3 linked regions of the Drosophila melanogaster genome follow. The protein of the gene in region 2 interacts with the protein of the main gene of each other region in a pairwise test. Each region holds a gene or a part of one and is shown on either strand. Other genes may lie near its edges.

Region 1 (9,374 bases), on a different chromosome or scaffold from region 2:
GCAATAATCGAACTGACGACGCTGAAAGAGCGGATGTCCACATCCCAGACAGGTCACTCCCACAATGGAAGGCTGCCCTAGAGCCTTCTCCAATTCCTCTACTGTTTTGCAGTCTTTTGTTAACCTCTCTTCGCTGATTTCCTCCAACTGCTTATGAATCCTAGACCCAGAGCCCAATCTCATCATGGGCAATCCGAAAGGCAGCAAACGCATGATCAGATTGTCCACAGCCGAATGCGTTTGTGCTGTAATAAGCACACTCTTTCCGAGAAGATGGAGCAGTCTGACAAGGGCAACCAATGTCTGGGTCTTACCAGTGCCGGGCAGTCCCTTGATCAACAGGTGACTGCTGGTTGTCAAAGCACGCAAAGCAGCATTTTGTTGCACTTTGTTAAGATTCAGCAGAATGGGTGCTCCCTTGGTGAGGATGATCTTGGGCAGAACTTTGTGCTGCTCTGGTGGCTTCTTGGCCACAATAATATCTCTCAGCTCCTGGAAGCGTTCTCCCTCGGAGAGCAGCATACCAAGATTGGTAAAGTTAAAAGTGGCAAAGGACTGCGAATCGTGCTTATCAATAATAAAGGTCTCCTCGCTATAACGCTGGCTAAGATCCCTCTCCAGCCGAAGATCCAAACGACGAGCTTCTATAGATACAATAAAACCAGCAGCAACGGCCAAACGGGATGTGGAACTGATTACAACATATTCGCCCAAGTCGAACTGAAAGAAAGAGTTGAGATAAGAATATAGTGATCTGTGGATTTTGTGGCAAAACATACCCCACTGAGGCTGAGATCTCGACTGGGATCTGCCTCTTCACCGAGCTCCAAGGTCTGGCGATAGCGTCCCTCTTCTAATATCACTTCTTGACCCTTCACTAGCTTCAAATGTCGAATGGCTATGCCTTCTTTTTCTCTCTCCGCAGGGTCCTTCGTCCAAAAAGACCTCACATGCGAGGACTGCCGATTGTGTTGCTCTTCTAGAGCCAGCAAACCACACCAATGCTGCACGTAGGCATGGTCTGCCTCACTTAGATGCTCCAATAGCTGTGGCATGAGTTTCTTGAGGGGATGTGAGTCGCTTAGCTGTAAACTTGAATCCTTCTGGGCGAAACTGGAGCAAATGGTATTGTAGGCACAATTGCCGCAGGCGCTGTGATGGTAAACGGGTTCGGGTAGCGGCAGTTGCTCCAGTGGATCCTCCTTGCTAGCCGGAATGGCTACTTCACGTGTTAGCCAGTAGGCCAGATCATTTCTTAACATAAGGAGATCCCTCTGTTCGTTTCTCCCGCTAGCAACTTCTCGTAGGAGTCCCTCTTTGAGGTACAGAAGCAATCCCGATTGAGTATCCCTGCCCTGGGCAGAGTGCATCAGTTGGTAGAGCAGCAATTGGCCCTTGTGTTCCATGGAGAAGCTGGCTCGGCCGGTCTTCAGTTCCAGTGGTATGATCTCCTCCCTCTGCCGTTGATTTTTTACCTTTACGGAGACATCCACCTTACCCTTGAGTCCCAGTTGTGGAACCCAGAGGTTCTCCTCTATATCGCATATCTCGTGGATTTGACCTCTATAGACTTCGGGCAGCAAAACACTTGGCGGTTCACCCTTCACATATTGGGCCACAAAACTGACAATGGGATCAATGAATTTCATCAGATGATCCTCCATTTCCACCTGGATGAGATTGCTGGCATAGAGTAAATGAGCCAAAGAAGAGCTGGCCAGCATCTCCTGGAGGGCAGATTGAATGTGTTTTTTATCGAAGAGCTTCTGGCGTAGAACCTTTTGCAGCAATTCGTGCACCAGAGTGCCAATGACCATCTGAAATGGAATACATTCTGGATAAATTGGGTTATGCTGATATCGAGATGTACTCACAACAGAGTTTCCCGAGTCCAGACCGCGAAATCGTTCCTGCAGAACAGATTTCCGTTTGCAAAACAGGGAACCGGTGACTGTGGTGCCGGAAATGAGGAAATCCGGATGGGACACGCAGTAGCCCTGCTCCTTATCGACCACATAGCATCCTGCAGACGGATCCCACTTGCCCAACAGGGAGACAGTGTCTCCAACTTGCATTGGCATGCAATTCCACGGCGGTAGCAGTTGGCAATCAGCTGTCTCCGGATCCCCGCCAGAAATCCTCTTAACATGCACTTTAAGGCCTTTTCTATTGGGGAGCTGCTCCAGCCGCACCACTTCGCAACGCTGCCACTTGGTGAGCTCCAATCGATGATTGGATATAGAATCCATAGCTGCAATCAGCGCCAAATCGAAGTCATCATTGTCACCCCAATCAATGTTCTCCACTTCGTCTGACGAAAAATCCAGTTGCTCTTTGAATTTCTTTTGTGGATTGGATGACGTCACGTCAGTGTTATCATTCTCCAAAATATTAGGCGTCAGCACGCGTTTGGTGGCCATCGAAGGGGCTATTTGTTATTGTTAAATCAAATTATTTACTTTATTTCAGTTATGCGTACAAATGATTTGGCGGGAACAGAGTGACTGTTTTCTGCGTGTGGTAAAATACTTATGAACACACCGGCGCCTCGTTGCTATTTAGCTAGCTTGTAGCTATTTAAAAATTACCGCGTGTTTTAAACTAAAATCTCCTTCTATCACTAACAGTTGTTAGAAAATGAAGTAATGTGTATCAAACAATTATTTAATATATAAAATTGCTTAAGCTGCCTTCTGCTTACTTTTTGTTTTCTTTTTATATGTATATATTTGATACTTCAGATCTAGCTACTAATTTTAGTCATCTTAACGAAGTACAGGTGGCGCAGTTGTGGAAAACATCCGCACAGATGGCGACAATTTAGCGACATATATTAAATTGCTCGTGTTGATTTTGAATTCTTATCACCACCAATTTTTAAATAGATTTCAATATTATAGTTAATTTAATTTAATTTTAATTTATTTTTATCCTACACAAGAGATCGAAATGTTGAAGAACTACAACAGCTTAGTAAAGCAGTTGTGTTGTGGCAAGCAGTTCACATTCGGTGGAAGTTCGTTCCAGAAAATTACCATAGGTGGCGCTTCAATTGGGCGCCCAATTCGATTTCCTAAATGCAACAGATACGACGAATTATATAAATATTCTTAGAAATATCCAATAAATAATTAATTTCATTTGGTTTTCAGGCAAAAGGTGCAGATACTGATACGTCTAGTTATTCCTTCGCTCTCGTATTTGTGCAGCAAACATGGCTGGCATTCAGTGCCTTAAAAATTTAAACAAATTAGTATACTTTTATATGAATAACGTTTTTTAAGCAAACCTGTTTCTAGGGTGCTACTTAGGTGCGTTATATAGCTGCTGGCCAGGCGGATGATCTCGATCTTTGAAAGCTTGCGATTCATGGGCTCCGTGGGTATTAAATTTCTTAATGCCTCGTAGGCCGAATTAACACTGATTTTGTTTAGGAAAAAAAGAAAATATTAAATGGTTAATTGTTAATAAATACACTTTCAACTAGGGCTATGTTTTGCTTATTAACATTTATATACTTTTTACTCACTTAAATGTCCGATAGCGCTCTCTAGCATTGATCTTCTGGCGCGGCGGTCGCCTCCTGTGATTTCCCTGATTCTCCTGGCCACCTGGATTGGCCTCCTGGCCAATCTGGGAGTCCTCCGAGTCGGCGGCTGCTCCACTTCCGCTGGCACTGCCACTACTATTGCTATCCTGGGCAAATACCGCCATCAAGTAGTTGGAAAACGACGACGAGGACGATGAGACCGCCATCCGTTAGCAGCGGCGATTGGCGAGCAACTGAACGGACTCTATGGCCGAGCCCATGACTATATCCACTTCTATATGCCCCGGCTGCATATTTGGGATCTGCTAAATGAATTAAGTCATCGGCTAGTGACGACAAATTGTGCGTGAAGATGGGAAACAATAACGAGTGCGTTTTCTTCGCTAAATGTGTGCACTTGTCAAAACAAAAAGTGAAGAATGCCGGGCACTTGTGCGATACTAATTGTGCATCAAGTGGCTGGCGTACCAAGGATAAGTAACATCTATATATCCATCCCCATTTGTCCATCGGCGATTTGTTGGGCCAATTTGTTTGTTTGCTTGTGGAAAACGGAAGTGGCACTTAGACCCTGACCTTCCCCTCCCCCGCTACTTTTATTTTATTTTATTTTTGTTTTTGGTTTTTCTGGACCGCACACATGCCACGCATGCGTTACAGTAAGTCATTCAGTTAGTCAGTCAGTCAGTCAGTCAGTCAGTCATTCAGTCACTTATTCATTTGCTCACTCAAGCAACGCAGTTTTGTATGGAATGTGCCGAGATGGATAATCCAGATATTTATAAACCAGATTCGAGAAAATCGAGAGGGTGTGCAACGAAGCAACTCACTGCGAAATTGTACAAATATTTGCAAACGTTTCTTAATTGCCCAAAAACATTTCTCACATTAATTTTTAATTTTAAAATACTTGGCCATCATAGTGTAGTATAATTAATTGAACGTAAAATATGGATGGCTTGCCAACGATATTATTAAATTTATTCACCTAATCAAATGCATTCTTTGCGTATTTTCAAACAAAAAGTTCAAGAAATCGGATTTCGTACAAAACATTGAAAATAAACAAATAAATAAACAAATATGGAATGCTATACCTTTCTAAGCTCGTAATTAAATTCCCATGCAAACTGTAATATATTTAGTATTTTGGGCACAGCTTAAAAAATATTTGTCCAAATAGCGAATGTCATACCTCGCCGAAATCGTAACTAAATTTGCAATCGATCTGTGTTCAAAAATGAAAACTTTATTTTTTGGCAATTTTTTGCAAGTTTTGATGATGTTACCCCTTACAAAAAATGCAAAAATTGACCAAAAAATTAATTTTTCTAAATTCTTCAAAAACTGATAGGGATCATAAGCACTGGGAATTAGCTGCTCAAAACAGTTGTTTTTACATCTATATGAGCATTTTTAGCCAAGTTATGATGAAAATTCCGTTTGTAATTATCAACTTCTTGGCAAAATCCGTTTTTCCGAATTTTGGTCTTCAAATAATCAGTTTTTTTGCTACAACCTTAAAAATAAGTGTCTGAATATGGAATGTCATATACCGTTGTGCTCGTATTTAAATTCCCCATCGAACTGTATTCACAAATGGAAATTCAATTTTTTTCAGATTTTTTGCAAATTTTGATGATGTTACCCCTTACAAAAAGTGCGAAAATTTACCCAAAAATTAATTTTCCTAAATCCGTCAAAAAGGGATAGGAATGTTTAGCATTGGTAATAAGCTGCTCAAAACAGTTATTCTTTTATCTCTACGATCATTTTTAGCCAAGTTATGAAGAAAATCCGCTTCGCAAACATCGAATTTTAGGAATTGTCCAATTTCCGTCATCAAATAATCAGTTTTTCTGCAACAACTTTAAAAATAATTGTGTGAATATGGAATGCCATATCTCATTCTGCTCGTATTTAAATTCCCAATCAAACTGTGTTCAAAAATAAAAATTCAATTTTTTTCCGATTTTTTGCAAATTTTGACGATTATAAAAAATGAGAAAATATGCCCAAAAATTAATTTTCCTAAATTCTTCAAAAATTGATAGGGATCGTTAGCACTGGTAATTGCTGCTCAAAACAGTTATTCTTTTATCTATATGACTATTTTCAGCCAAGTTATGACGAAAATTCCGTTTGTAAATATTAACTTTTTGGCAAAATCCGTTTTTCCGAATTTCGTTCATTCAAATAATCAGTTTTTTTGCCACAACTTTAAAAATAATTGTCTGAATATGGAATGCCATACACCGTTGTGATCGTATTTAAATTCCCAATCGAACTGTATCCACAAATAAAAATTCTATTTTTTGGCCATTTTTTACAAATTTTGATGAAAATTAACTCGAAACTCAATTTCCCTAAATCCGCCAAAAAAGTGGTAGGAATGGCTAGCCTTGATAATTACCCGTTCAAATTGGCAATTCCTTTAGTTTTAACCCACTTTAACTCATTCTATGCCGACCATTGCAAATATATTTTAGAATACTTCAGTCTATAAATGAACATTTTCCCCTTTTTAAAAGATGGAATACACAGAATATGAAATATTTATAATCATTTTATTTTATTTTATACACATTTTTCGAAAGTTTCACTTAGCTAGCTAGAAAAAAATCATAGTTAGAAAAACACAATTCGCTTAGGATTATGGGGAGTTACAAACAAATCCAGGGGACACAGGGAAGTCGAACAAGAACGGTTCTATATATATAATAGGCATATCGAATCGGTTTTATATATTGAGTATGCTTCAGTGAATGTGCGTGTTTGTGTATGGGTGTTTTTGGGGCTCTTTGACCAACAACAGCAAATAAAAAAAAACATTAAGCTCGGCTACATTTCATCTAATAGAAACTTGACGTGTCTTCTGCATCCACTTAGCTTTCTTCTTCATCATCATCATCATCATCATTATCTTCACATTCATCTTCTTCGTTTCGTTTTCGTTTAAAATAATTAAAAATAATAGTAAATAAAACACCACAGTCATGATTTTTTTTAATAGAACACAAAATATACACAAAAAGGAGAGAAGAGGTCAATTACAAATTAGGGAAATTGGGTTTAGGAAAAGTGGTGGGGGAAAATTTGCAAATAGCAAAATATTTACAAAAGCCGTTGAAAATTTTAAAGATATGGATAGACGGGTCAGGGAAAATAGAGATATAGTACTAGGGCAGGAATAATTGTATCAGGCGTTTCTTCTTCTAAACATATTCATATGAATGTTGTTTCCATACTTTCGATTCGATTTTGTTTCTTTTATTGATACATATAAATAAAATTCTTTGATTCGTGTTTTTTTTTCTGCCAATTTTGCTTATGGTTTTATAATTTTTTTTTTGTGTTTAGTTTGTTTTAACTAATTTCGTTTATGTTATAAAAAAATTTGCTATGAATTTAAAAAAAAGATGTTGACATTGCCGGGAAATTTCTTTGATCGAACAAAATTCTCTCCGTGTGAATGAGTGGCCGTGTTTGTGTGTGTGTGTGTGTGTGTGGGGTTGTTGTGAGTGGGTGTGTGGGGCATTGGAAAGGGGGTTATTTCTGGGGTGAGACAGAGGGAGATAGAGACAGACTTTCGGGGCGTTTGGGGCTAGCGAGTTAGAGAGAATGATCTGCTGCATTTGACTCTGTACAGGTTGGTGACTTGACTAATTCGGGCGAGGGCGTGGCCGGTGCTGACCCTTGACCTTAGATCAGCGCCGTTATCAGCTTGGCCTTGAAGTTCACGAACTTCTCGCTGGTGGCCGCAACGCGCTGCAAACGGGTAGGTAACATAGATTTCGTTAGATTAATAGCACATAAAACCCTAGTTACTGTTACTCACCAGAATCAAATCCTGGACGAGATTGGCCAGACCGCGATTGGCCAGCACCACGAGGCGCGTGACTGGGCCGGGAATGCCCTCGGTGTAGCCATCGGCGTTGCGAGTGCTATCGCCATCGGCGTCACCATCGCCGCCCAAACTGCCGCTGCTACTGCTGCTGCCGGCACTGCCGCCCACCGAGTTGGCCGCCTCATCGCCCTGCTGGGTCTGAACACTGCCCGAAAAGAGCTGTTTGTTTGTTCGTGGAAGTAAAGTATACCAATTAGATGTCTGGATAACGGTTGAAAGTTCAGCCAACGGGTGTGGTACTTACCCTCACCACATCCAGCAGGAAGTTGCCGGAGCCGCCGGCTCCCAGAGCATTGCCACTGGGCGAACCTCCTGCACCGCCGCTTGAGCCGCCGGCGAGACCCGCACCGCCAAAGCTGAGGAACCTTTTGAACAGATTACTATTGGTCAGGCCATTCCAATTCAAAGCGTATGTTGTTGATCGTTATTGATATTAGTATGTTGTTGAATTTCGTTGTTGAGGTAATTCCATTCGAATTTGTTGTTGGTTGTTCAGTGTGATGCAAATGTTGTTGAGTAGTAAATTTATATTTATAAGTTGTTGAATTTTGTTTCATGTTTGTTTTGTTTGCAATTTATCAGTTGGATTTCCAATGTATTAAGTATTGTTGAAATGTTGCATCATTGTTGAATTGTTGTAGGGGTGGAAAGGGAAGAAAGGTGTATGATTAGTTGAGTGCCTAAACTTTTTTTGTACAAGTGTTTTGAATATTATATAATAAATTAGTCAGCCATGCACTTAGCATTGCATTGAAGGAGTAGTCCTTCACTTACCTCTTGTTGCGATCGTCCAGATCGGCGGTCTCCTCCGCAGAGTCTAGGGTGAGTTCATCGATCGCCGGCGACTTGGACTCGGAGAGCTGGAGATCATTGGTGCTCAGGGCCTTTTCGTTCACACCGGAGGACGGCGAGACACTGGGCAGTTCGTTGTTGAAGCTCAGCTGGATGGGCTCGTTGGATTTGAGGGGAATGGGAGCCTGGGCGACCGGCGAGGAGGCGGAGGACGAGGATGGGGACAGGGACTGGGCGGCAACTGCGGCGGCGGCTGCTTCCGCCTCCTTCACCTGGCGGGCCACACGGATTGTCTCCTCCAATTGCTTGTTGATGGCCGACAAATCGATCTGGGTATCAGTGGCTCCATTCTTTTGGGTTTTTTTTTCGTTTTGGATTTTTGTCATTTGATTTTTTGCAATATTTTTGGTAGGGCATTTGTTGCATTGTTTTTTATTGTGCGTGTATGTTTAAAAATTTGGAATTTGGACGTTGATTATGTGCGTGTGGGGAGAGGAAGGAGGAGGGGGTATAGGGGGTGGTTCAAGGGGTGATGGGAAAGCCCATGGTGGAGGGGGTAGGGAAAGGCAAAGCGTAGGATTTGGAGACGAGTTATGTGTGTTCAACAGTATGTTTTGTGTGTGTTTCATTTCGTTTTGTTTTCGTTTTTTCAGTGTGTTCGGATTTGGTGAGTTCACGAAAAGTGAGGTTATTTTAAAGTTTGTGAGGTTAGGGTGAATGTGAGGTTAGGTGGAGACAAAGAGGTTAGGTGGTTTTGGTTGATCATTTGCACAGGCGATTTTTGTTGTCGATTGTGGTTTCGAAATCGATCGATTGATTGATGGGCAGTTATCGAATACGTGCACAAATGCGTTCGATATATTTGTGTATACATTTTCGGTTGTCAGTTATCGTTATCGGTTATCAGTTATCGGTTATCAGTTTTCGGTGGATCGTTGTTCGTAATTTTTTGATTGATTTGATTTGATTGTTTTGGTGGTGAGTTATTTGCATTGCACAAATCGAATCGGGTTTTTAATGGAACATGAAAATAAAGAGAAAAAGATACAAAAATAAGCAAAAGAGAAAAACAAAAGGAGCGAGACAGCACAGATTGAAAGAGATAGAGAGAGTTAGAGAGGAGCG
Region 2 (13,879 bases):
TCTTCGTGGCCCACACCTTGCTCTGTGTGATCGGAAGGAGTCGCACGGCCAAGCGGCATATGCACTACGACCTGGTTTCCAGGGACAAAAACAGTGCCATCAGCATCGATCCCGAGAGCAGCAGCGGCACCACCCTCTACCAGACGCAGCTGAGCACCGGAAGCGGAAACAGCCATCGCAGTGTACAGCCGGCAAGGCAGTACAGGCACAGCGTTAGCGTCACAATGGCGGCCACCGACTCCTCGCCAGTCGAGATCAAGTTCGCCAAACTAATGGCGTTCCTCAGCATCTCGTTCGTCATCTGCTGGATGCCACAGATGGTGAGTACTGGGTGGATACCATTCTAAATTTGCAGATAGTAACTACTAAACGTCTAGTATCTTCAACCATTCCGTATTATGCAAATCTAATATAATATAATAAATTTACATGGCCTTTATCAACAATTATCTCCGTTTTAGATCGCCATCCCGTTGGCTATAGCTCCAAATCGGGTGCCCGCATCGAACAAGTTCTTCATCATCGCCGATGTTCTTACGGCGCTGCACTTCACCTCGGATCCGTATGTCTATGTGCTGAGTCGCTCCAAGTCCATCAACTGGTCCTTGCTGGGATGCATTAAGCGCTGGAGGAGCGGATGGCGTCCGGGCGGACTTCGTCGTTCCCAGAGCGACCAGAGCCGCATGCGTACGACGATGACGGAGGCGAATACTCTGGAATTCAACTGATTCCACTCGATCTTCATACCGCGCGCCCCCAAGTACTTAATCCCATTTCCCGACTCAGTGGGATCTCACTCAAAAAAGCGTTTCCGCCTCCCTCGGAGCATTCCTGGGAGTAGCGCCTAGTCTCGTAAGCTGTAAATAATAAATATATCCCACTTCGTATCTTACTATATCAAGGCTTTCCTTATATGTATGTATTCTCACCTCACTTAATCTCTGTACCGATTTGTAGCATTAAATATAACGCTTGTGTAAAAAGATCAAGTATTAAATGTATTAATTGTGCGCTAAAACGAAATCGTACAGCCCTCATAGATATATACACTGCTACTGAATCTCATTTTGCAACAGATTGAAAGCCAATTTCCATATCCCGCAATGACACACAGGAATCGTGTTTGTTTTACAACTAGTTTTGTTTCTTTGTTTATTATAGAATTTATATGATTACATAAGTTGAATGGTTGGTTCGCTGGCTGGCATGGTATGCGTTCTGTGAGGGGGGAATCGGGTAGGTAATACGATTCTCGATTCAATTAACTTGTTTGTGTTCTCCCTCGTCAGTTTCAAGAAGCTTCGTCGTACAATATATTCAACTGTTTCAACTAAAAGTTGACCGTCTTCTTCTCAGTTTCCATTCATTCAGTGTATATGCAAATTGGGATGCAAATGTCAAATTGCGGGAAGAGATCGATTTGATCTGTTCTTTCTTCATCCTCCTCCTGGGCGTGAATGTAAATTTTTTCTTGTATATTAAGGTTTATGTTATGTTAAATTACGAATTCCTTCGACGTCTACTTAGTAGCGATTGTAGCGACCGCGGGCGCGTTGTCGCTGCGGCGTGGCCTTGGCTCCGGCGGCAGCGCGAGCAGGCGTTGCCTTCTTGGCCGGAGATGGAGAGGCGTCTGCCGACGTTGCCGCAGCTGCGGGACTGGCAACAGCGGCTGGAGCAGCTGCCTTGGTCGGAGTCTTGGCTGGGGTCTTGGCTGGTGGTGCAGGTTCAGCCGGGGCAGGAGTTTGGACTGGAGCTGGCTCAGGTTCGGGCTCTTGCTCGCCCTCCTGACCCTCTTCCTCCTGGGCTTCCATCTCCTCTTCGCCGTTGTCCTGGCCGGCGCCATCTTCCTCGACCTCAGCCTCGGCTTCCTCGTCACCTTCGCCTTCGCCCTCGCCCTCAGCATTATCATCCACCATCTCCACGTCCTCGTCATCGCCAGTGGCTTCCGATGGATCGTACAGCTCACCCTCAGCGCCTTCGGTGGTTTCCTCGGCTGCGCCCTCGGCAGCCGGAGCCTCTGCCTCCTCAACCTTGCGCTTCTTACGCTCATTCTCCTCCAGGGCGGCAGCTGCGCGCTTCTGTGCGATCTTGGTATCGCTTGATTTCTCGTTGATAAACTTCAAGAAGTTGCGGTGATGAGTCGCCGTACGGGAGTGAATCTCGGCGGTCACCTCGGTGTCGAAGAACTTGCTGCACACCGAGCACTCATAGCACTCCAGCTTGGAGATCAGACCGGGACCGACAGCACGCTGCCAGTTGTACTTAGGTAGGCGGGTATCCACCTCGCTGGGGATCTCATCGCCGTCGTTGAAGTCAAGGATGCAGTCCTCGGGGTCCACGGGCAGTGCCACTTCCTCTTCCTCTTGGCTCTCGTTTAGCTCATCGCCCTCCTTTGTCTCGTCAGCAGCTTCCTCACCCTCCTTGGCCTCTTCTCCCTCGGCTTCATCACCTTCGGCACCCTCGCCATCGCCGGCACCCTCCTTCTTAGCCTCGCCATCGGCTGCTTCGCCCTCCTTCTTGACCGGCTTCTTCTTGCGCTTCTGGGGCAGGCGCAAATCGCGGGTCTCCTCTTCTTCGGTGCTGATGGGCAAGGTCTGGCGCTTGCGCTCACCCACCTTGGTGTTGTTCTCGGCAGCCTTCTTCAGATGCTCGGCGGACAGCAGATGAGTATCGTAGTCAATGCGAGTGGCGAACTCCTTGTTGCACTCAATGCACTTGGGGTGCAAGAACTTCTTCAGCTGCAAATGTCCCTCCGACTTGCGATGGGTCGAGATGTGACCATGGAAGTTCAGGTCGCACATGGTGCAGTAGTCCAGCTGACGCTGCTTGCTTTTGCCCATGCGCTTCAAGCGGTCAAACTCGATCGACTTGAGCTGCTCTGCGATCTTAGCCTCCTGACGGATCATGTTGGCCTTGAGGCGATAGCTCTCCTCAATGCCCTCACGCATCATCAGATGGGTGCGGCCCTTGATGTGGTTCTCGAAAGAGTTGGCATCCCACATGTGCTTCTTGCACAGATGGCAGTAGAACATGTCGTTCGGCACACTAGCGTATGGAGACTCCTTGGTAGGGCTATTAAAATTGATCATGGATCATTCGATTTGTTCGAGAAGGAATAGAAAAAGAAAGATTCATTAGTTTTCTAATTTGAAATTCATAGACGGGAATTCGTCTGGTTGTCTGGCTATTGGGAAGAGATTATTATATTATAGGAGTATAGTGGTTCTCGCTGCAATTTAGACTTATGATACGTACAGTACAGGTGGCGATAGGTGATACAATAATAAATGTTTTTAGCTATGATAAAAATGCGTTACTATAGTGAGAATGATGACTTTGCAAGGAGAAGAAATATGCCACAAATTATGTTTTAAACAAAATTATTAGGTATGTAGAAGCATGTTTCTTTTCTTATGAAATCTTACATTTATGATATATTTATTCAAAATTTATATTCTTCCAAATCAATAAAAAAGGAGAGGAAATTTAATATTATTGTGAGCTTATACATTTAATTTAAATATTTAAGCATGAATATGAAGTTAAATTATAAAGTTCTCTCCATTTTAACTTTAAAAATATTTTTAAAACTTTTAATGTGCACAAAAGTCAAAGAAAGAAAAGATTATATTTAAACAATTTCTTTTAAGGTAAATTATATTTTAAAAAATTAGTATGAACTTGAATAGTATGTAGTTTCAACACATAAATTTATACATTTACAATTCCCTACCCAAATGAGTCCCCGCACAAGTTGCCCCACATACACACAGTTTTATAAACAGCATCAAAAAATATACTATCCCTAATGAAGAACTAATTCTAATTAAATATACTTTTTTTTTTAGAGATGTATGAGGGAACGCAATTAGAGAATTGGAATGCCTAAGTACTTAAGTAAAAAGTTGTTATTCGCCCTGCTAAGTTCGTTATTTGTTTTGATATTAGTGAAAGAAATCAATCCTTTCGATTTTGGGCAGCAAAATATTTATACTTTTTGTTGTGGTTTTGGTTTTGTTTTGGAAAAGTTGTTGTAAGTCTTACCTCTCGATTTTCTTTTCGCCAGGAGTGGGTTCCTTCTTTTTATTTTGGTTGGCATTTTTAGCCAAAAGTTTCTTGGCACGATCAAAAGCATTTTGCTTGCGAATACCGCCGCCGCCCTGCTTTGGCGGGGGCTTGGGTCCACTACCAGTGGCGCCACGATTTTGGAAGCCACCTCCCTGGCCACGACGGTTATTGAGACGATTGCCGGCACCGCCGCCGCGACTGACCATCTATACATTGTTTCGTTTATCATTTGGGATTGACATTAAAATATTTGCACAATTCGGAATGCGCACATGGGGCATATGTGAATTGATATCGTTTTGATTTACAAACAGAGGCATTAATGATACAAAGCATTTTCGAAAGATCGGAGACAATATGGCGCGGTTGGCCATTTACAATATTGTGTGAGGGGCGGAGCGATCAGATTGAACACATTATAGATAATTGTGGGAATAAATCGTTGATATATAGTAAAGTATACATAAGTACATGGAGCACATGGTATATATATATTGATTTTGGTCAGATCGACGGGGCAGTTGCGGCGGCCAATCAGTCGACGGGGATAGGTTGATATATATTGCATAAACATATATATATATTAATTCGTTGGCGTGTGGCGGCGAGTGGCATTTAAAAATGGAAATCGGATTTTGAGTTTCAGAGGCAGGAACGTCGAAGAAGAATTTGGCGATGAATTGGCATTAGACATAAAATATTAATAGGTATTTCATATTGTGGTTTTGGATGTAATTATGTTGCACCATCAAGCAGTACCAGTACCAGATCGGATCAGTTTCGGTTTCAGAGCAGAGCAGATTAGAAGATTGCATGGCGATCAATGTCAATCGATTTGGCAATCGGTCAATCAATCAATCAATCAATCAATCAATCAGTGGCGTCGCACGGGAAGCATCGTACAGTTTACAGTATCGCATCGTTGGTGAAGATTCGCATATTGGCCACAACGTGTGTGTGTGCATCGCGTGTGCGTGTGTGTTGAGTGCGTGTGCGTTGCGTTTTGCATTCAATTTCATTTGGATATTCGAAAATATTGTTGGCCGTCAATGGGGATTAGATTTTTGTTGATTGCAATGGATTATTGCAAATGGGAAGAGTCATCATCGACGGCAACAACAACGCGCAACAGCGACAACGACAACAACAACCACAACGACAGCAGCGGCGGCAGCAACAACAACAACAGCAAGTATATATGCCGGAGCAGCAACAACAATATGGAATGCATTATTCGAAATATGCAAGACGATGCGGTTTCGATATTCGATATTTGGAGGTGTATTGAAAAGCATCGAATTTTTGAGTTTGGCATTGTTTGGTTTTGGAAGAGAGAATAAAAATAGATAATTGATAAATTAGAAAAGCGTTGTGGCAAATTGAGTTCGGCCAAGAAAGTTTCTTTTACTTGGCAATGGAACTTCGGAAATTAATTAATCGAATTATAAATATGGTAAAAATGTAATTAAATGCTTAAGTACAACTAGTAAGAAAATATTGCATATAAATTACTTATGATTCAATCTTGACATATGGAGATCATCATCATACTCTTTTCATCGTTAAGTGGAACAAGTGTTGGCGGTACATGTTTTAATTGGTACATTTCGCTATCAATACGTGTGTATTATTTTATAAAATTGTCATTTCTTATTTTCGGTGTAATAATCAGGTTCTTATTCGTTTGTGCAGTTTCTACGAAACAAAAAAGCATTGCATTTTAAATGGAATAAATGCGTTTTTATCGAAATCCTCCTAATACCACATTAATCCTAATGTTTGACAACCTTACATCCTACACTGCACAAAGTTCTTATTACTTTTTTCAATATTCTTTTCGCTGGTTTTCGTTATTTTTCAGTCGTCGGTTTAGTTTAGTAAACTACAAGCTAAGATTAGGTTTAAGATCATTTTGATTTATCTTTTAAAGGAAAAGCATTAGCTACATTTAGCAATATTACGATCTAACTAAGGGTAAAACACAAAATAAAAGGTTCTGCTGTGGAGAGCAAGTATATTACCAAAAGGTATACACGTAATTACAAAATGTTTATACGATTTAGGCATCCTAAGTTGAGTTTATATTGAGTACAACAAAAGTAAACAGACAAAATATTAAGATTACTATGTGCTTTGAATTGAATTCTACATGTTTAGTAGAATTTTTTAAATTATTTCAACATATGACACTCCACAACAGAAATACGATTCGCAGTTCACGAACCCATAAATAATAACAACATAGGTAAGTATAACAATTCATTCGGTTGGCATTGTCAACTAATTCGAGAATAAGTAAACTTTTGTACATACCGGGCCACCACGTTGGTTGCGATTTCCCATGCCACCGCCGCCGCGGGGCAAGTCGAGAAGCGATGGTGGATTCTGGTTCCTGAACAGATTGTTCAGCAGATTGTTGGCCAAGTTGATGGCCTGGGCGTTCATCTGACCGCCACCCTGTCGCATGTTGTTACCAAACTGTCCGCCGCCGGGATTCTGCGATTCCCAAGGCGACATGTTCATACCGCCCATGCGGTTGGCGCCCATGGGTCCACCATAGTTGTTGTTGCCACCTCCAAAATTGCGGTTGCGGTTCTGGTTACCACGGAAAGCCATGTTGCCGTTGACCTTTGCGTTATTCACTAAACGATTCTGCGGATTTCCGTTGACCTTTACGCTGCAAAAAGACATGATTCACTTATCAGTATAACTATAACTTTCTTTCGAAGCGGTAGGGGGACAAATTTATTCAATAAAATTATAATTTTCCAAGCAGTTTAAGATATATTATTCTACATAAGCTGACAATTTTTAAACAAGAACATATCGACAATATTGGAAAAATATAATTTTATAATTAATCACGTTGGAATTGGGAACTAGGGATACATAAATAATTTCGAATATTCGGGGTTGATGTGCAGCATACCTGACCATAATTTTGATGGGTTTTTTTTTGCTGTTTTTGGGAGTGTTTATGGGATGTGTAATGTAGGGTTTGTGTTTAAGCGAGGAAATTATTTAAACAAGCTGAAAGTAAAACGGCACAAAGAACAAAACAAATGTTGAGATGCAAGCGGGAATTCATTAATTTGGGTTAGTAATCGCCAGATCTCTTTATCCACATCTACGGGTAGTTATTATGGAACCGCATCAAAAACCGTAAAACAAGCCAGCGTGCGTATACACACACCACTTACACACACATACACGCAAAGAGATAGGGGAAAAGGAAAAGAAATGGAACAATTTGGCGCTACAGTCAGCAGTTTACATTAATCACATGTAAAACTGGTTTGTGCGACACCAACACATTCACGCCTTTTGGCCAATTTAAATGAAGGTAACAAAAAACACCTAAAATTTATCACTGCGAGTGGAAAAAAGATGGCGGCCCAGACGCTGAGTGTGTATAAGTAATTGATTCAGCCAGAAAGCCGGCCGGCCGTATGAGTGCGAAAGGGAGGGAAAGTTAGAGTACAGAATAGGAAAAAAAAAGCCAAAGACCCATTTAATCGCGATAAAAACATGTTTTGCACCAATGACGTATACTATACGCATTAGTCTAAGCTCTGGAATGCAAATAAATAACGCTTACGACGATAATCCACAATCAAGGCCTCGTAAAAAAGCAGTTACCTCATTATCACATTACTTAATGCACAAATACACGCAAGGAGCCCCAGGAAAATCAATAATTACTATTTTCAGACGCCCGGGTAGCAAGTGAAAAAGTAAAATTTTCGCCAACAGATACATACATACGCACCAGTTTTCAGTTAGCCTACACAAGTAAAGGACAGAGGCGCAGCGCAAACTGTGAAATTAGTTAGAAACTTACGTGTTGCAACGGCGATTTGTCAAAATGACTGGACTACTTGGACTACAGTTTTCCTCACTTCAGAAAGATGGCCGCCCTTGTCTAAACACTCCGCCTATCCAATATTACGCTCCGATCCGAACGACGAAAGAAAATCGAATCACGTCTGACGCTGCGCTAGAGATGGTCGTGCGCGAAGTATCGATAAAAGTAATTTTCATCACTATCGAAAAGAAGCACATAGATATTTTTTCCAGATCTAGATGGCAGTGCGATAAGCTAATAAGGACAAAATATCGATATTTTTTTGGTATAGACCGTAATATTTTCAAAATTTGTGTCTTAGTTATGTTAGCTTTAAATAAAGAAATGTTTTTCAAAAGAATTTCCGCTTGTAATCCTTGCATAAACTCTTATACAATTCTATCATAAAGCCACTTTTAAAATTTCTCGGATCCTTTAAGTGAAAAATGCGCTTTTAGACATAAAACGTTTTTCTGTAAAACACAAAAAGCGTTAAAACTTCGATCATAGAACATAATATTATTAGCGTATAACAACGGATATATAGAGCTATATTCCATCGCGATAAAAGAAATGAACAAATTATCGTTTTATTCATATTTTTATTACGAATTTGATCAATTGCATATATGTATATTTAAAATTTCGTTTGGAATAAAATTAGTCCGCTGTGTCTTGCATTCCCATTTGAGCCTTGAGTCCTATACAATAAAATGATAATCATCCTAAGTGACTTGTAATCTTGTCATTTATGGCCAAGTCCCTTCCCTTGCTGGCAAAAGTACATGTCCATTTATCCGCTTTCCTCTCGCAATCATACTTGTATGTCTTGGTCAGAGAATTGGGCTTAAGTTGGCACTTTCTAACATCAGGACTCGGCATGAAATCATTTTTACTTGTTCTATTGTCAAATATCAAGTACACTGTGCCAAGATGTGGATCGATGGGCGTTCTTGGGTTGTTTTGCCTAAAACGTTTGACCTGAGCACATACGCCCATGGCAATCATTTCCCTTTCCCTTTGCGCGACAGGTGTATCCCTCTTGGGAGCAATATTTTCATCGTTAAAATATGCGACGTGTTTCTGAACAAAAGAGTCTTGCGGACATCCTTGCGTTTTCGTATAATCTGTTATCCTTCTCGGATCTCCTTGGAAGTTATCCCGCTTGCAGTCGTAATTAATAGTTAGTTGTGTGCCTACATTAATTGCTGTATTCATGTAACTTAATGTTTGTGGCGTAAATTTAAAGTTGCAACTGTTCTCCAAATCACACGCCATCTTCGGCGCATACCGTGCATTATCGTCAAGCTTCCTACCATTATGATACAAGGTACCCTTTTTAACCACGATATGATACCCTGGATTACACACCAGTCTGCATTCTGTTGGAGGATTTGTTAAGTGAACCTCCGCTTCTTTTGCTGATGTCTGTTAAAAGAATAAGAAATATTTAGTATATACAAAATAATGACCCAGTTCAAACTTACTAAATGTATCAATAATAACACTAGGATCGAACCCAACACTCTTGAAGTAACTGCCTTCATCTTACCGACGAACAATGAACACTGAATTATGTTTGCTCAGAAAAAGGCCTTTTATACTCATCGTCGCAAAATGAGACCCATCAGCAAATCTGTTATCAAGCTACGTACATGTGTACATACATTGAGTACCTTTCTTGTGACCTTTGGGATGAATTAGAATGTCTGAAATTTTGGTTTTGCGGAGTGTTTTGCGGGTAACTGCCTTAAATAAAATAAATTGAGGTAATTATTAAAATACAAAAGAATACGGTTCTGACAATACATGAGTTTCTTATCAATATTCCGATGAAATATAAGCATACTACAATTATTGCTTTCCTTTGTAAACTTTGGTAATTGTTTTTGAGAAATCCATCTTGTTTCTTATTCGGTCGGTATTAATAATAAAGTAGGCTTTAATTATTAATAAAAATGTCAAAAGCCAAGCTGAAGAAAATATTTAATTAATCAAGAGAAACACTATGGTTACTCAAACAAAATCACTATTCTATTTGATTCATATCAATAATATTTTATAAAGCAATAAATAAAAATATAAAATACATAATAATAATCTTAGCACACACACCAGTTCAATAATTTGAGTTAAAGCTTTATTTACCTGAAGTACGCTTTTATCTAAAAAAATTCAAAACTCAACTTTCTAGCTCGTGTAGTTCTCTAGAACTCGTGATAAAGAATTTATACTGTACTCGCGGACGGACAGAAATATATTCTGTCTGTTTCTTAATACGAAAAAGGATACAGAAATAGTTGATTCCGAAGCCGCTGATAAGCTGGTTTTCCCGTTAAATTAAAATCGAACATGTAAACAGATTTTCGTTTGTTTTGATGCGACTATAAGTTCATGATTTGATGATTCAACAAATTCAAGCTGAAAACTAATCTTAATTTTGTGTAGCTTTATTCAAATAGACAGAAAAAAAATCGTTTCGATTTCTTAGTCCATTGTTTCCAATATTCCGTAATTTTGAGCAGTACCAAAGAAAAGTTCCAAATTTGAATGACATCATTCGATTTTATTGAATTTGCATAAAACTGGCGCAGATAATGCGACTCTGCACCCTTTGCAATGCATAAGCATCGTTTGATTTACATACAAAGGGATTAAACATAGTAATTAAACGTTATAATAGGCAATAATCATATGTTCTAGCAATAGTTGTTTGTGTGTGTTTAGCATTCGTATTACTGCTGGCTCTTGTGTAGTTAATTAATTAAGTACCACAGCGTAAAATGGGCTCAACAAAAGATATGGGTGGCATACTTTTCTATCTCGACCCTTTATAATTTTGTATCCCATTTATTTTTTGGTTTGTTTTGTGTCTTTGTTTCAAGTGCATGGGCGCCACTAAAAGGCCTAGGGAGATTTTGTGGGGGTGTAGAGGGATCAATTAGGGTGAGATATTTATATATCCATACACATTTCACATACATTTACAATTATAATCGATTGGGGGAGAGCAGATGCGAAGATGCATTCGCCTTTCACTTTTTAACACACATTTTTAACGTCTCTAGTTAACACAGAAACTACAAAAAATGATAACCCACAACTCGGATAGCTCTCGAAATCGAATTTTCTTCGCAACATCTAAGCCGCTGCACCGTTTACAATTTACAATTGGCTTAATGTAAAACTGTTCAATACATTTAGTATTTAAAAGAAAATTGAAACTTTCTTGAAAGCTAATGCAATTTTGGACTTGCGAGATATCCCAATAAGTTTGTGACTTGAAAGTGTAGTAAACGGATATACAAAGTATATTTTTGAATAACATTACTTCTATTTTAAAGAAATTGATTGACTAATACATTTGAGGGAATACTTTCAAGTCCATAGTGATTTCGAGAACTCTGCAAAATAAGTTCGCGTTGATTTTTCGTGTGCTGGGTCTGGGGAATAGAGGGTGTTGGGATCGGTTGGTTGGTAGCATTCGAGCCTCCTAGCCACCCACAACGTATTTACAAGACGACCACTGGAAAGCCTCCAGGTGCACCTAGTAAAAGAATAGCAGCCGTTCCTGGGCAGAGGCGGAAAGGAGGCGCCACGATCGCTTGATGCTGACATACTGTATTAAAGCGCGTATGCTGATCAGGAAGCCAAAGGCACAGATCAGCCACCAGAGCCAGGAGTTTTCGTGCGAGGCCAAGTCCGTCGAGTGCTTCACGATCAGCGTCCATTTAGCCAGCGACAATCCGAATCCCGACAATGCTCCATATCGGGCGGCGATTGTGTGACAGAAACAGGTGAGCATCAGGAAGCCGATCCAGTTAAACAAAAAGGCCACAATGAAGGCCGTGATGAACATGATGTCCGTGCCGAGCAAGTTGTCGGTGGTGGACAGACTATTTTCCGGATCGCTGGCATCGATGGCGATGAACGTGAGTGCCGGCTGGGCAGATCGCACAGCAGCGGCTCCATCGCGCAGCGGATTTGGCGGCAGTAGCGGATTCGGCGGCGGCGGTAGCTGCTGCGAGGAGGGTAAAGTCAAAAAGGCGGGCGGCAGCTCTCCGTTCAGCGACTTTTCCATTTGAACCTCCTCGTACGTGGGCAACTTCCCGTGTATTTCTGGCGGCAGTTGTGCATTCATAAGGTCCGCCTGGCTCGGCAGCTGCACTTGCATCTGTATCGGGATCTGACTGGGATCGGGTGTGGCCAAGGCCAGCGGTGGCATCTGAGCCGGCAGTGCTACCTGCTGGCCATGGCCAACGTTCGCCTCGTACGGTGGCGGAGCACTGAAGTCCGCCTTTGGCGGTCCCAACTGATCATCCCCGGGAGACGGCTGGTTGTTGTGCGGCATGACTGGAAATTACAAACGGAAAACGGGAAAATTAATTCAGTGCTTAAGGGGTTACAAAGCATATGAATTTTTTTGACAGCCTAAGGTGACGTCTCAGAAAAGAAGATTCTTAAGAAATTCTTTTCTTTCTTACATACTAAATTTAAGATATCCTTATTTTCGTGTAGCTTAACAGATCAACTGTTTAGTATTTACATGCATCTCTGAAATAAAAGGAAAATCAAGGCCATGGTGAATTTTGTGCAAACTATTCCCAATCAAATTCTAAAGGTATTCGAAATTTGCATTATCTAAATTGAAAGTAAAGCTGGTGATTTAGTTCTCGCTTTTATTGACGATATTAGTTCACGCGTTTTTTTTTTTAATAAAATTAGGTGTATAATAAATAAATGGGCGGCTAGCTGCCAAAATTGCATTGAATTATATCTAGATTTATTTTTATCTCTCTCTGAGCAATCAGTTTTCGTTCGTTAATACTTGATCTAAATGTGTTATAGGCACGTCAGTAGGCACTTAGAACTACGGCATTCGCCATCTCAATCAGATGGCAAAAATAATAGTTTCGTTTAGCAGTTAAAATAAACAGTTGGACATGTTAGACATTTAAAAACAAATGAGCAGCCAGGCTAATTAGTTAGCGCAAAAGTTCGTTGCAATGCCTGGGGCGATTGGAGGCTTTCGCTTGAAGGTGGGCCTCCTCCAGCGATAGGATGCGGCAGGGTCCAAAGGGACGTCTCACTGGACGTAAGGGTCGCAAGCCATCCACCTCGTCCATGCCCTCGTTCTGACAGCCACCGTCGGTCGTTGTGGTTGTGGTGCTGTCGTGCAGCTTTTGTTTTTGCAGCTTCTCGTGTCGCAGATACAAAACCACACAGCACATGGCCATAAACAGAAGGGCCAGCGTTGCTCCGCTAACAATGCTGGCCTTCTCTAGCATCACACGGTTCCTGGTTGGCAGGTACGAGCCATCAATCTCCTTGTACTCGCACCTCGGACCCATAAATCCCAGCGCACATTCGCAGTTGTATAGGATTTCATTGTGGATCTTCACCGTAAAGCAGGTGCCATCGTTCAGGCAATACCAGGCGACATAGGTCGGTGGACAGGCGAAGATCGGGAAGGTGACATTCGGTCTCGGCGTTGTGGATATTTCCACATTATCCGGCGGCAGGATCGGTGCAGCTGTTGGCCGCGGCTTAGCGATGGCACGCGAGGAACAGGCGGCGGTGAGCGGTAGGTAAGCGCCGATTAAAGCGGTGGCAAGCAGCAGCAGATCCTGGGCTCGCATCTTGATCTTAACTCATGGCAGCTTACTTGGGAATGTGGCAATGCAGTTTAAGGTGTTTTGTAATGTGGAATTCTTGGCTTTGGCTGGCAGGCGGCTGCAAAACAAAAACGAAGTGCAATTAAAAACAAATCAAAAATGTAAGCTCGTGTTCGGGTCTGTGTGGGTTAATTGCCTGCCTAGCACCGCCAGCCGCCTCCTTCTCACAATTACAACCTATGCTCCTCGACCTAAGTGAGAACGAGAAACAGAAAATCGAATTTCATAAATTTTTAACAAAAAAATGACATCGTTTATTTACCTGGCCGGAATCGCGAGCGGAACCCAAGCG
Region 3 (9,939 bases), on a different chromosome or scaffold from region 2:
CTTGATTTAAAGATGACATTTTTTTGGTTCAGTGGGAGTGTAAATAATATAAATAATATATTTCTTTTTTCCAGAGTATCAATCTATTCCATTCTATTTCCATTACCCACACTACTTCCTCATTGAAGCACTTATAGCACATTAATCAACAAATCTTTGAAAATGAGCTTAAAATTAGCCGTTTGAAAATCACATTTTCGACTAGCTTCGGCTACGCCCACTGGGCTTCATTTAACCATTTTTCACGGCACTTGTTGCGCCTTAATTAAGTCATTACACGATACCGTTAAGAGTTCCCCAAAGCGTCTTATGGGTCCTAAATACCAACCTCATACTGTCGCGTTACGCGCCACTTTAAAAATTATGAACTACACAGCAGAGTGATGAACTTTTAAGACGATTATCATGCGGTGGTCGTTTACCCATCAACGGAATGGTTTCTTTATGGCAGTAAAATAGAAAGATATGTACTACATAAACGAAACTTAATTAGTAGCGCTAATAAAAAGCGAAGCTAAAGCCATTCGGTGAAAACTTCTCTGCATACGACTTGTATAATTCACACATTTCACGTCAACGTGACAGAGATCAAATTAGAAAACCGCATATTTTTCGACATCTTCATTTAAAATACAAAGGGAATTTCACGCTGCATTATTTAGGCATTACAACCAATCAAATGAATCACAACAAAGTCAAAACAAAGCAATTTTCCCGATCAGAGGTCAGTTTTCAAGTTTTCGAGTTTCCGGCTCAATCGGAGGGGTCAGTGAAAGCGGTGGTAAGTGTTGCGCAAATTGCAGCAGAAACTAAATAGCCGGGACTTAAAATAAAACCTTATCTAAATATTTATGTCGTTTTCAATAGACCGAAATTGGTATGCAAATGGCGGGCGACAGTATGTCGTCGCATTTCCCAAAATGCAAATTGCCTGCTCTCTTGGCCACAAAAAGTGCTCTTTCACTCGCCGCAAAAATCGGAGGATGGGTTACCTCATCGGCGGGCGTCGTTAAATTGCAACAATTACGATGGCGGCGAGTTGTCGGTGTAAATGAAAATCAATGAAGCGGCTAACAAACGAAGAAACGAATCGAGACATCTACGAATGTTTGCCCAAAGAAATGATCGCTTAAAGTGGCGCATGAAAAGAAAGTTTAAAGCACACTTTGTTTGCCGCCTGCTCTTTGATATCGTTTCGTTGGCGGTTTTGAATTCGAATTTTTTTTGTGTGCCGCCGTGTCTGTGGATTGGTAAAACTGCATTTGATAATTACGCGAGTACCTCGGACTCGGGTGATTCAATAAAGACGGCGACCACTGGCTCCATCGGCTAGCCTTTCCCGTCGATGCCGGGTAAATAACCAAAATTACAAAACCACTCTACCACCGACTGCGCCAAAGAATTTGTGTCACAAGTTGCACAATGCCCACAGCGCCGACACTAGACTACCGCCGTACACACGGCGTATGAGCAACGAGTTGGCTGTGGCCATAGCGAACAAATACCGCAACTGCCGAAGAAGTAAAACTGCAATTTGCAAACATTACATAAGCCACAACTCCACGACTGGGCGGTGGACCGGCTTGGAAGAGTCGCCTTGACGGAAGTCGGGAAAAACACATTTCCAGGAGGAAAATCGGTTTTCCAAGTGCATGAAATTAGATGAAAAATTTTGCCACAGACGGGTAAAGTGCGTATAAATTTCAAACATGGTCAACGTCCACCAGCGAAGTATGTAGAGTAAGCCAATAAGTAAATTGGCCAAAAGCAACAATTATCTGTGGTAGTTGGTTGTATGCATCGGAAGTGGAATTCCGTCCAAACGACACCATAGTTTATGGCCACTTAAAAGTGCATTTAATGCTCTTATTTGTAAGCAACCTCAAATGGCTTAAGGTGTAAATGAAGTGCTAAGAAATAATAGTTAAATTGGAAAATACTTAATGGCTTATAATTTAAAGTACAATTAACAATTACTATTACTATTATTACAAATATAGTTTAAAATTATAGGATCTCTTTATTCTAAATACCTAAAAATATTTAAGTAATCATACAAATTTTCTAGTCTAAGTCAACGAAAATAACTTATATTTTTAAATTAAAAATAAATTCCCCTGTTTGAATTTTGCGCACTTGACGCCTATATTTGTCTCGCTCTCCGTTTGCTGCTTATTCAGTCGCTCTTATTCCTTTCTCTTTCTATATGTACTTTTGTTAATAGATGGCGCTAGTCGATGCTTTTTGGCGCCCACTATTGAGAATTCAAAACCGCACGCGTGCGACATCTAGACGGAAAATGACAAAACTAAAACATGTACCGAAGATATTATAGCGTAACAAAGAGTGGTGAATGTATTAAATAAAGCAATTGTTGAGCACCATAAAAAGTTATAGTATGCAATCACTGTGGCAGACAATGTTTCCGGGTTGAGGTAGGTTCTTTTTAAACCCCTCTGTTCATTCTATATTCAATGTGTTCTGGTCATTGCCCTGCAAAATTAAATTAATTGCATACAGTTTCCTTATCGCAGCAATTCTGAGAATTCCAATTTTCTTCGCGGTTTGTTGCAGGTTACTGATAAGCCGTCATAATAAAGCGAAAATGATGTACAAATCAACAATGTTTTCAAATACCACTTTATATTTATTTTAATATGCACATTTTCAAGATCTAAGAAAATATTTAGTTTGACCTTAGCAAACACCAGTTAAGTGTGGAGCGTTTATGGTAATAAAACGGTACGGATCGCAGCAGACAGTGTGTCCAACGTCCTTCGTATTAAGGTTAAGACCCGGATGACAGGGTATCACATGGCAGATCTGGTTTAATGCCTGCTGATTGGGTAGACTTACGTCGTTGTAGGTCAGCATTACCCATTTATCTCCGGAGAGATGGCTAACTATCTTGTACATCCACTCTGGCACGGGAATTTTGTTATTATCCAACAGGTAAATTGGTATCATATTGTTATTGGTATTATGTCTTAGTCTATGCACTCCCAATGCCCCAATGCAAACCTTAAGGACATCGTAAGTACGCGGTATTTGTACATTATTGATGATTGGATTATCATACAGTCCCCTAACCATATTGTTCACCCAGGTCTCAACGGCCTTCCATTTGCCACGATTAACTCCTCGATATTGGGGGATAGCGTTTAGATACCTGAACGTTGACTTCTTCAGCTCTGTGGATATAAATGCAGAAGCCGGTGTCATGTGGCCACGATCAAATTTACACTGCGGCTGTACTGCGCCCAGGTTAGTGAGCAAACAAGCTTGTGTTGCTCTTCCCTCGTAGGCATTGTCAAATCCACCACTTAATTGATCCGACTGCCAAGTGGGATTGGGACGTGGAACGGCTAATAGTACCAGGTTAACTACTGTTTTTGCACCAATATTTTCCACTTACTGTTTACGTAGCGATAAGCCTTGTAGATGGAATGTTGAAACGCCAAGCTGTAGCCATCAAAACAATTGCGATACAGTTCCATAAAGCGTCCATTGAAGGAAAATCCTACGGCGAACGTAGCACTCGGAATGGAACAAGATGTATCTGGTACTTTTACCACGACAGGATCGGGTGGTGCACATGCTGCTGAGCTTAGCGCTGGACTGAAAACACTGTCATATCGACACAGGAATGTGGTGCGATGAAGTCCTCCATTGCACAGCAGATACAACGTCTGGTGGATTTCCACAATATCACTGCGCTGAATATCATAGACTCCGTTATTTTGGCTTAAGTACACATAATTGGCATTCAAATGAGCCAAGTCGATTAAGCAATTCGCTTGAACACTTCCTACAACTTAAGATCAGTTGAACCTCTGATAACAATAAAGCTTATTCTATATATACTCACAGAAATACAGGCTTAGAATCGTCAACATATACTTCAGATCGGGCATCTTCACAGCTTAAGGTTGATTTACGAACTAAGAATTCTGAAACGTTCAGAGCGCGGTCAAGCCAAACGCATTTCTTATCAGCATCGTATTCGTCATTATTCTTATCTCTTTAATTCAGAAAATCCCAAGATTCCTCAACGCGGCCCAATGATAAGCCATCGCTGATTAATAACCTATTAGTCGGTCAATCAGCTTGGAACCGATGTATTTCCAAAGATGCATTTATTTTTTTCAATGAAGTTGAAATGCATTAATATGTTTATACACTGAAGATAAATAGAAACCTCTACACATTTTCGGTATTATCCCAGCACACACCTGCCAAATTAGGAACGTTTCTTCTGATAAAGTCAATTGGATCACAGCAGAAGGTGTATCCAGTTCCGGTTGGATTCAAAGTTCTGGGGCAGGCAGTAACTTTGCAGACTGATGCTGGGTTTGGTTGTTGGGTTTCCCACCCATTGTTGGAGGTCAATATCACGTACTTGATGCCGGTGGTTAGGCTCCTAATGATTTTGTATGTCCATCTGGGAACGGGATTTTTGTTCGGTGCTAGGTAAATCGAAACAGATTTTTGGCTTCTGTTCAACAAATCAAGAACACCCAATGCCCCTGTGCAGACATTTAGCACATCCTTTTGTCCTCGAACCCAATTCTCAACTATCTTCCAATTGCTGCGATTAATATTGTAGTACTGGGGAACGACATTCAAGTACTTGTTGGTTTGTCTTAGGATTTTTGGGAAGCTGTAGTCGGCAACCGGTGTAAGGTGACCACGATCAAAGGAAAGACTTCTGGAAGAAGGCACATATGTTTGTCCAGATCCAAAAAGATACTCAAATCGATTGTAGATACTATTCATCTGAAAGGTAGCCTCATCTGCAGGAGTTATGATCCCATCCTTATCGAACACTGTTGGCGGCCGATCTGACTCTGGATTTTGTAATAAAATAGTTGCAATTAGCGAGTAAATAAGCTTAGGGTATTATAAGAACTAACTTAAATTGGTGGGGTAGACCGTGTTGATGGAGAAATACGCCTTCATGGTTCTCGCGTCGTAGCAGCTGCGATAGAGCTCCATGAACGTATTTCCGTATTTGAAACCAACCAAATACATGGTGTGTGGACAGATATTACTCGAAGTTGGAACAACGGAAGGCGGGATTGCCTTTGAGCAGTTCGTCCTGGGCAATGGTGGAGAGAACTGGCCATTATTCCGACAGGTGGAGGTGAACACCTGCGCATTACCATCGCACAGCAAACTTATTTGCTGATTTGGTTGCAATTAATCCGTGAGCAAGAGCTCGTAGCGATTGTTAACAATGTGGACAAAAAGTCGATCGGTCCATGTTTCAGCCTGTGTGATCTGGCAAAAGGACTTGACATTTCCCACAGCTGCAAGAAATGATTGTCACATTAGTTCACCAAAGAATCTTATCGTCCTTGAGCTTACTTAGGAACAAGCTCAAAGTAATAATTAGATATCGTAGCTCGTGCATCTTCATGGTACAAGCTTGAAAGTAGAACTGAAGATATCGAAAAATAAGCTTAAAGAGAAACTTCTGAATGATAAGATAAGTAGCTATATTACAATAGGATACACAAACAACACAATTGAATGTCTTATCTTTGGAGTGTACATTTTACAGCCAAGTATTTAATTAAATGTACATATATTAAGAGCTTATCAGTTCAATGCCACACCAAGCTTCCAAGAATTGGCATCTTAGTCATATTTATTTCGATACGATTTATATACATATCTTTCAAACTTCTGCATACTTTTGGGGTACATACCAAAGATATCAATGATTCAAGTTGATTTTTAAATGGCTGATTAGGCTCGCATTGATAATAATTAGAGTATGCATTAAATTCATTTAATTACATAGTCATAACAAAAACCTCAGAACAAGATCGTTGGGAAAGCAGCCTGAATAGCAACCAGTTTTTTTTATTAACTGCCTTTACATCATTAACTAAGCCCAGAGCTTTGTACATGTGTATACAGACCACGGTTTCTGCAGCATCGCCAAGCAAACTGTTGGCCACTTTCCACTGCATGACTGCTCCAAGTCAGAGGATCGGGCAAACTCATCGCAGCACGCCCGCATAAACATGACCTGATTGATGTTGGTTTTAGTTGGCCATTTATTTGTTATTTGCACGCCACATGGCAGTCAGGGTCTCTCTGCAGGCATGAAGCAGAACGAAGGACTCGGGAGCCAGGACCAAGCCAATACCGATGGCAGTAGGGGACTAATGGATGAGAAGCTGGCTGGCCTGGTACATCTTTAAAGTGCACTCTCGGCTTTAAGTGGTGTGGCTAAATGCTGCACATTCAATTTGTCACATGCCAGGGTGCCGCATATTTGGACGAAATATTTTCGAATGTGTCAGAAATTTTAGAGGGAACGGTGGGCGAATCCCCTCCCCATAGCGAACATGAATTATGCTTATCCACGTGTTAGGCACAATGGCCAGCCGACCTTCCTGACGGCATTGCCACAACCTAATATTAATTTGCTGATTTATGGGCGCCCAGGCCACAGCGACGAGGCAACTATAAATTTTAATGAAAATTTAATAAATGCGTCGGACAGAGGGACTTTTTTGGTCGGCATTGTTAGCTGGGCGCATTAAAGCCATAATGTGTGTGATGGGGTTGTGGCTTTAAGTGGCGAAAATTTCAATATCTGACGCAGCCACAATAACAAGTCATTAAAAATACAAAACACATACATAGCGTGTACTATGGATTACAGCAGAATGCTTCGAAAAAAAAAAAAACCAACATAAAACCGACCCCGCAGAAAGGAAACCTCTTCAGAGCAGCCGCAAAAACAAACTGGCAGGCCGGCGAACCGAACTCCGAGCTCCAAACTACGAATTCACTGGCAGAGGATCCTGGGACTCACAGACGGTCGATACAAAATAGTTAAATATTTTATGCCACTGCTATTTTACGCTTGTAAATCAGAGTCCAAGCCGCAGTCAGACATTCAGACATGCAGACATTCAGCCAGTTAGACAGACGGACCGAGTTTGGTTCAAGCTGGGCAAAACCAAAACGTTGGCATCGGAAGTAAGCTGAACTAGTTGGCCTCTGCCAACCTGGCAGACGACCGCTTTTGCATATGTCTCCGGAATTGGTATAGGGATTTGGATTTGGAGAGGGAGTGTGTCTGCCTTCCTGGCCTCCTGGAGCTCAGACCTGTTTAATATTAAAATCAAATTCCTCGAGATAAATCTCATTTTGGCAGGCCCAAACAAATATTTGCCCGGCTGTGTGGCATGCAACATTAAATTATTTACCGATCGAATGCAGCTGCCAGTAGTTGAAGTAATAATACGATAAACGCTTTTCCATGGAATGCAGCAAATTAACAGTCATAAATTATATTAATTGCATTGCCATCCGGTTAATAATTTAGCAAACATTTCAGTTTTCATGCCAAAGTGTCTCAGGTGTCGAAAGGCATACAATTCAATCTGCACTTTGTAGGTGGTCAGGAAAAACATGCCTCCGGCTGACTCAGAGCCTCGTCCTGGAACAAGCCAAACACCATTTGGTCCGTTTTCTTTTTTGGTGTACCTGAAGGGATAACCCCTCCACAGCTTCTTTGCCATGACCTGTTTAGGTAAAACGGTACAGCAATACAGGCTGACAGCAAGTTTGTAATGGATATCGATATTTTTCAGATAGTTCGGGGTGAGGATGCCACGGCTCCGGTTCCATCAAAGCAGCAGCTATCCGGACCGACAGTCGGTCCTTCGTGCTGGCTTGCAGCGATTTTAACAAACAAATCAATTTATTTGCCAGATTACAATTTACGTGACTCCGTTACAAATTGCTTTATTTATTTAGCACAACACAATAAATACAACCGACGCGGGCGGAGTAGGTGGCTGGTGGAGTGAAAGTCTAGCCTGGACTGAAACAAAATGTTGCCGGGCAAATACATCAATTAGACACACAGAAGCCGACTAATGCAATGACTAATTGAGCACACGATATGCTCACATGCAACGCGGAAGACGGCCTAAGGTTCTAGTGTCGGCCTGAAATAATGAACTAATCCTTTACACAACACGGTCCAATGAAAATCACTTTTCATGACAGCACCAAATCGCATTCAAAAGTATTAATTAATCTCAGCCAAATAGAATCTTTTGCAAATGGAAAATATTTTATGACAATTTCACAGCGGATCTGCTATTTTAAGTTGTCATTTACCCGTGGGCTTAAAAACCACAAAATCAATGAGCGTTGTGCCACAAACAAACGCCAACCATCTATGAATTCCAATTCATCAAGTACAGCACAACAATTAGGAAGTGGACGTTGGATGTTGGACGATGGATGGTGGATAGGAAAACAAAGTGAGCGGAGGCGGGATAAATAATGAAAAATAAAGAGAATCGATCTCATTACTTAGCAACGGCCGGGAGCACAAAGCCGGTTGAAGTGGCTGCAAGTTTAATAACAGCAATGCTCAAAACATAAGCCACAAAGGCGGAAATCTCATATAAATGTCCAGCGAAAGCAAACAGAACAAAAGTCTGCACAAAAACCCTAGCCCGAACCCGAAAGCAGAACTCAATCAGGCATAAAACATTAAAAGCTCCCCAAGTAGCACGAAAGAAATGGCACAGCAATCGCTCGAAAGAAAAGGAAATCTGGCAAGCTGAAAGGTGGAGCTGGAGGTGGATGTGGAGGTTTAGGTCCTGACCCCCATCTTGGCCAGAAAATAGCTGAGGAGGCGAAAAACTGTAGCAGAGGAAGCGGAAACAGTGCAAGTTAAAGTTTGCAGCGAACGGACTCCATCTTTGAATTAGTGAATTTCCGGTGGCAGCAACTGTAGCATCTAAAAATGTTTTTAATTCTGTTTCTATTTGTCTTTTTTGTTTTTATTTTTGTCGTTTTTGTGCTTCTGCAATCTCGGTTGCATTGCAACAATTGTAAAGGCCAAAGGGAAAATGCTCGATCTATATGCTGGCCATTTGTGTGCTTTCAGTTTTAGTTTTTGTTTCACTGGACAGCGGGATAGATGGATGAATTTTTTCCATTTTCACAAGCCACGCCTGGCTCAAAGGAATGCAGGACTTGGCTTTGACTGCCATAAGCCGCGTTCTCCAGCCGGCAAATATGGTATCCCGATGACCGAGACAAGGAGACAAGTGAATGCCGTCAGCCACAGTTGGTTTTAACCCCGTTCCGCAAACAAACATGAAAGCCCTCGGCCACAGAGGCTATCAACATGCTGGCCCGCAAATCGATTAACTTTGGCTTCTTAATTAACATCTTTTGTGGTCCGTGGGTCCATGGACCATGGGTGAGCTCCCGACATGTTGCTTGAATAATTACGTGCGACAAGCCGCAACATGTTAATCCCCACGTCAACACAGCCTCTCTGTCCGTGGTGATGGTCGATTCGATTCCATATGCACAACCATCGCTCATTTAACTGCTTATCAAGTATGGATGTCCATATATGTGTGTATGGGGAGGATTGGAGATTGCGGTCTCATGTCACTGGTCATAATAACAATAATAATAATAATACGCACTTCCACAACCTGGCGTGCAATCAGCGGATGCGCCTTAATGTATGCAATGATTGATATTACTGCCAAATTAGGGCATGTCGTTGGGCATTAGTTGATATGTATTGGTATTAGTATCGGCATTCGCATCGACACCGGATTGCAGAGCCCAAATTGTTTGCGTTGAATAATGCATTAAATTAAATGGCCGAGACTGCAAAGCAAACAGCTGCCAGGTAAGAGAAACTTCTGTGGCACACGGATCCATTCCGATTCCAGAAAAATGCCGCACATACAAAGACACACACAAACAGAGCGTAAATGCAGTTGCAATGGCAAAAACCGACGACCAAAAACCAAACCGAAGCAACCCAAAAGCCGAAACGCACAGGCAAACCCGCAAATTGCATACAAATGAAGCAATTTGCACTTGAGGCTGCCTGCCTTCCAGGCGAAATCAATTTTCAATTAAGAATTG

Evidence for each region.
Region 1: the proteins of Pep (region 2) and CG33557 interact in a two-hybrid assay, tested with the Drosophila melanogaster proteins (one large-scale study listed by BioGRID).
Region 3: the proteins of Pep (region 2) and Sid interact in a two-hybrid assay, tested with the Drosophila melanogaster proteins (one large-scale study listed by BioGRID).

What each region holds. Positions count from the first base shown.
Region 1 is NC_004354.4:10,003,617-10,012,990, reverse strand, and holds CG33557 (uncharacterized protein), read right to left. Parts: upstream 3,782-9,374; 5' UTR 3,757-3,781; coding exon 3,530-3,756; intron 3,421-3,529; coding exon 3,290-3,420; intron 3,233-3,289; coding exon 3,138-3,232; 3' UTR 2,942-3,137; downstream 1-2,941. Other genes in the region: Dna2 (DNA replication helicase/nuclease 2), read right to left, coding at 1-720, 780-1,817, 1,875-2,420.
Region 2 is NT_037436.4:17,636,982-17,650,860, forward strand, and holds Pep (protein on ecdysone puffs), read right to left. Parts: upstream 8,056-13,879; 5' UTR 7,910-8,055; intron 7,099-7,909; 5' UTR 7,006-7,098; coding exon 6,998-7,005; intron 6,746-6,997; coding exon 6,382-6,745; intron 4,275-6,381; coding exon 4,045-4,274; intron 3,073-4,044; coding exon 1,524-3,072; 3' UTR 1,122-1,523; downstream 1-1,121. Other genes in the region: CG7497 (uncharacterized protein), read left to right, coding at 1-320, 462-728; CG43085 (uncharacterized protein), read right to left, coding at 8,633-9,340, 9,400-9,459; Ndfip (Nedd4 family interacting protein), read right to left, coding at 11,460-12,263; Krn (keren), read right to left, coding at 12,898-13,551. UniProt on the Drosophila melanogaster protein: May play a role in the process of early and late gene activation, or possibly in RNA processing, for a defined set of developmentally regulated loci.
Region 3 is NT_033777.3:28,664,713-28,674,651, reverse strand, and holds Sid (stress induced DNase), read right to left. Parts: upstream 3,949-9,939; 5' UTR 3,915-3,948; coding exon 3,869-3,914; intron 3,815-3,868; coding exon 3,416-3,814; intron 3,366-3,415; coding exon 2,698-3,365; 3' UTR 2,631-2,697; downstream 1-2,630.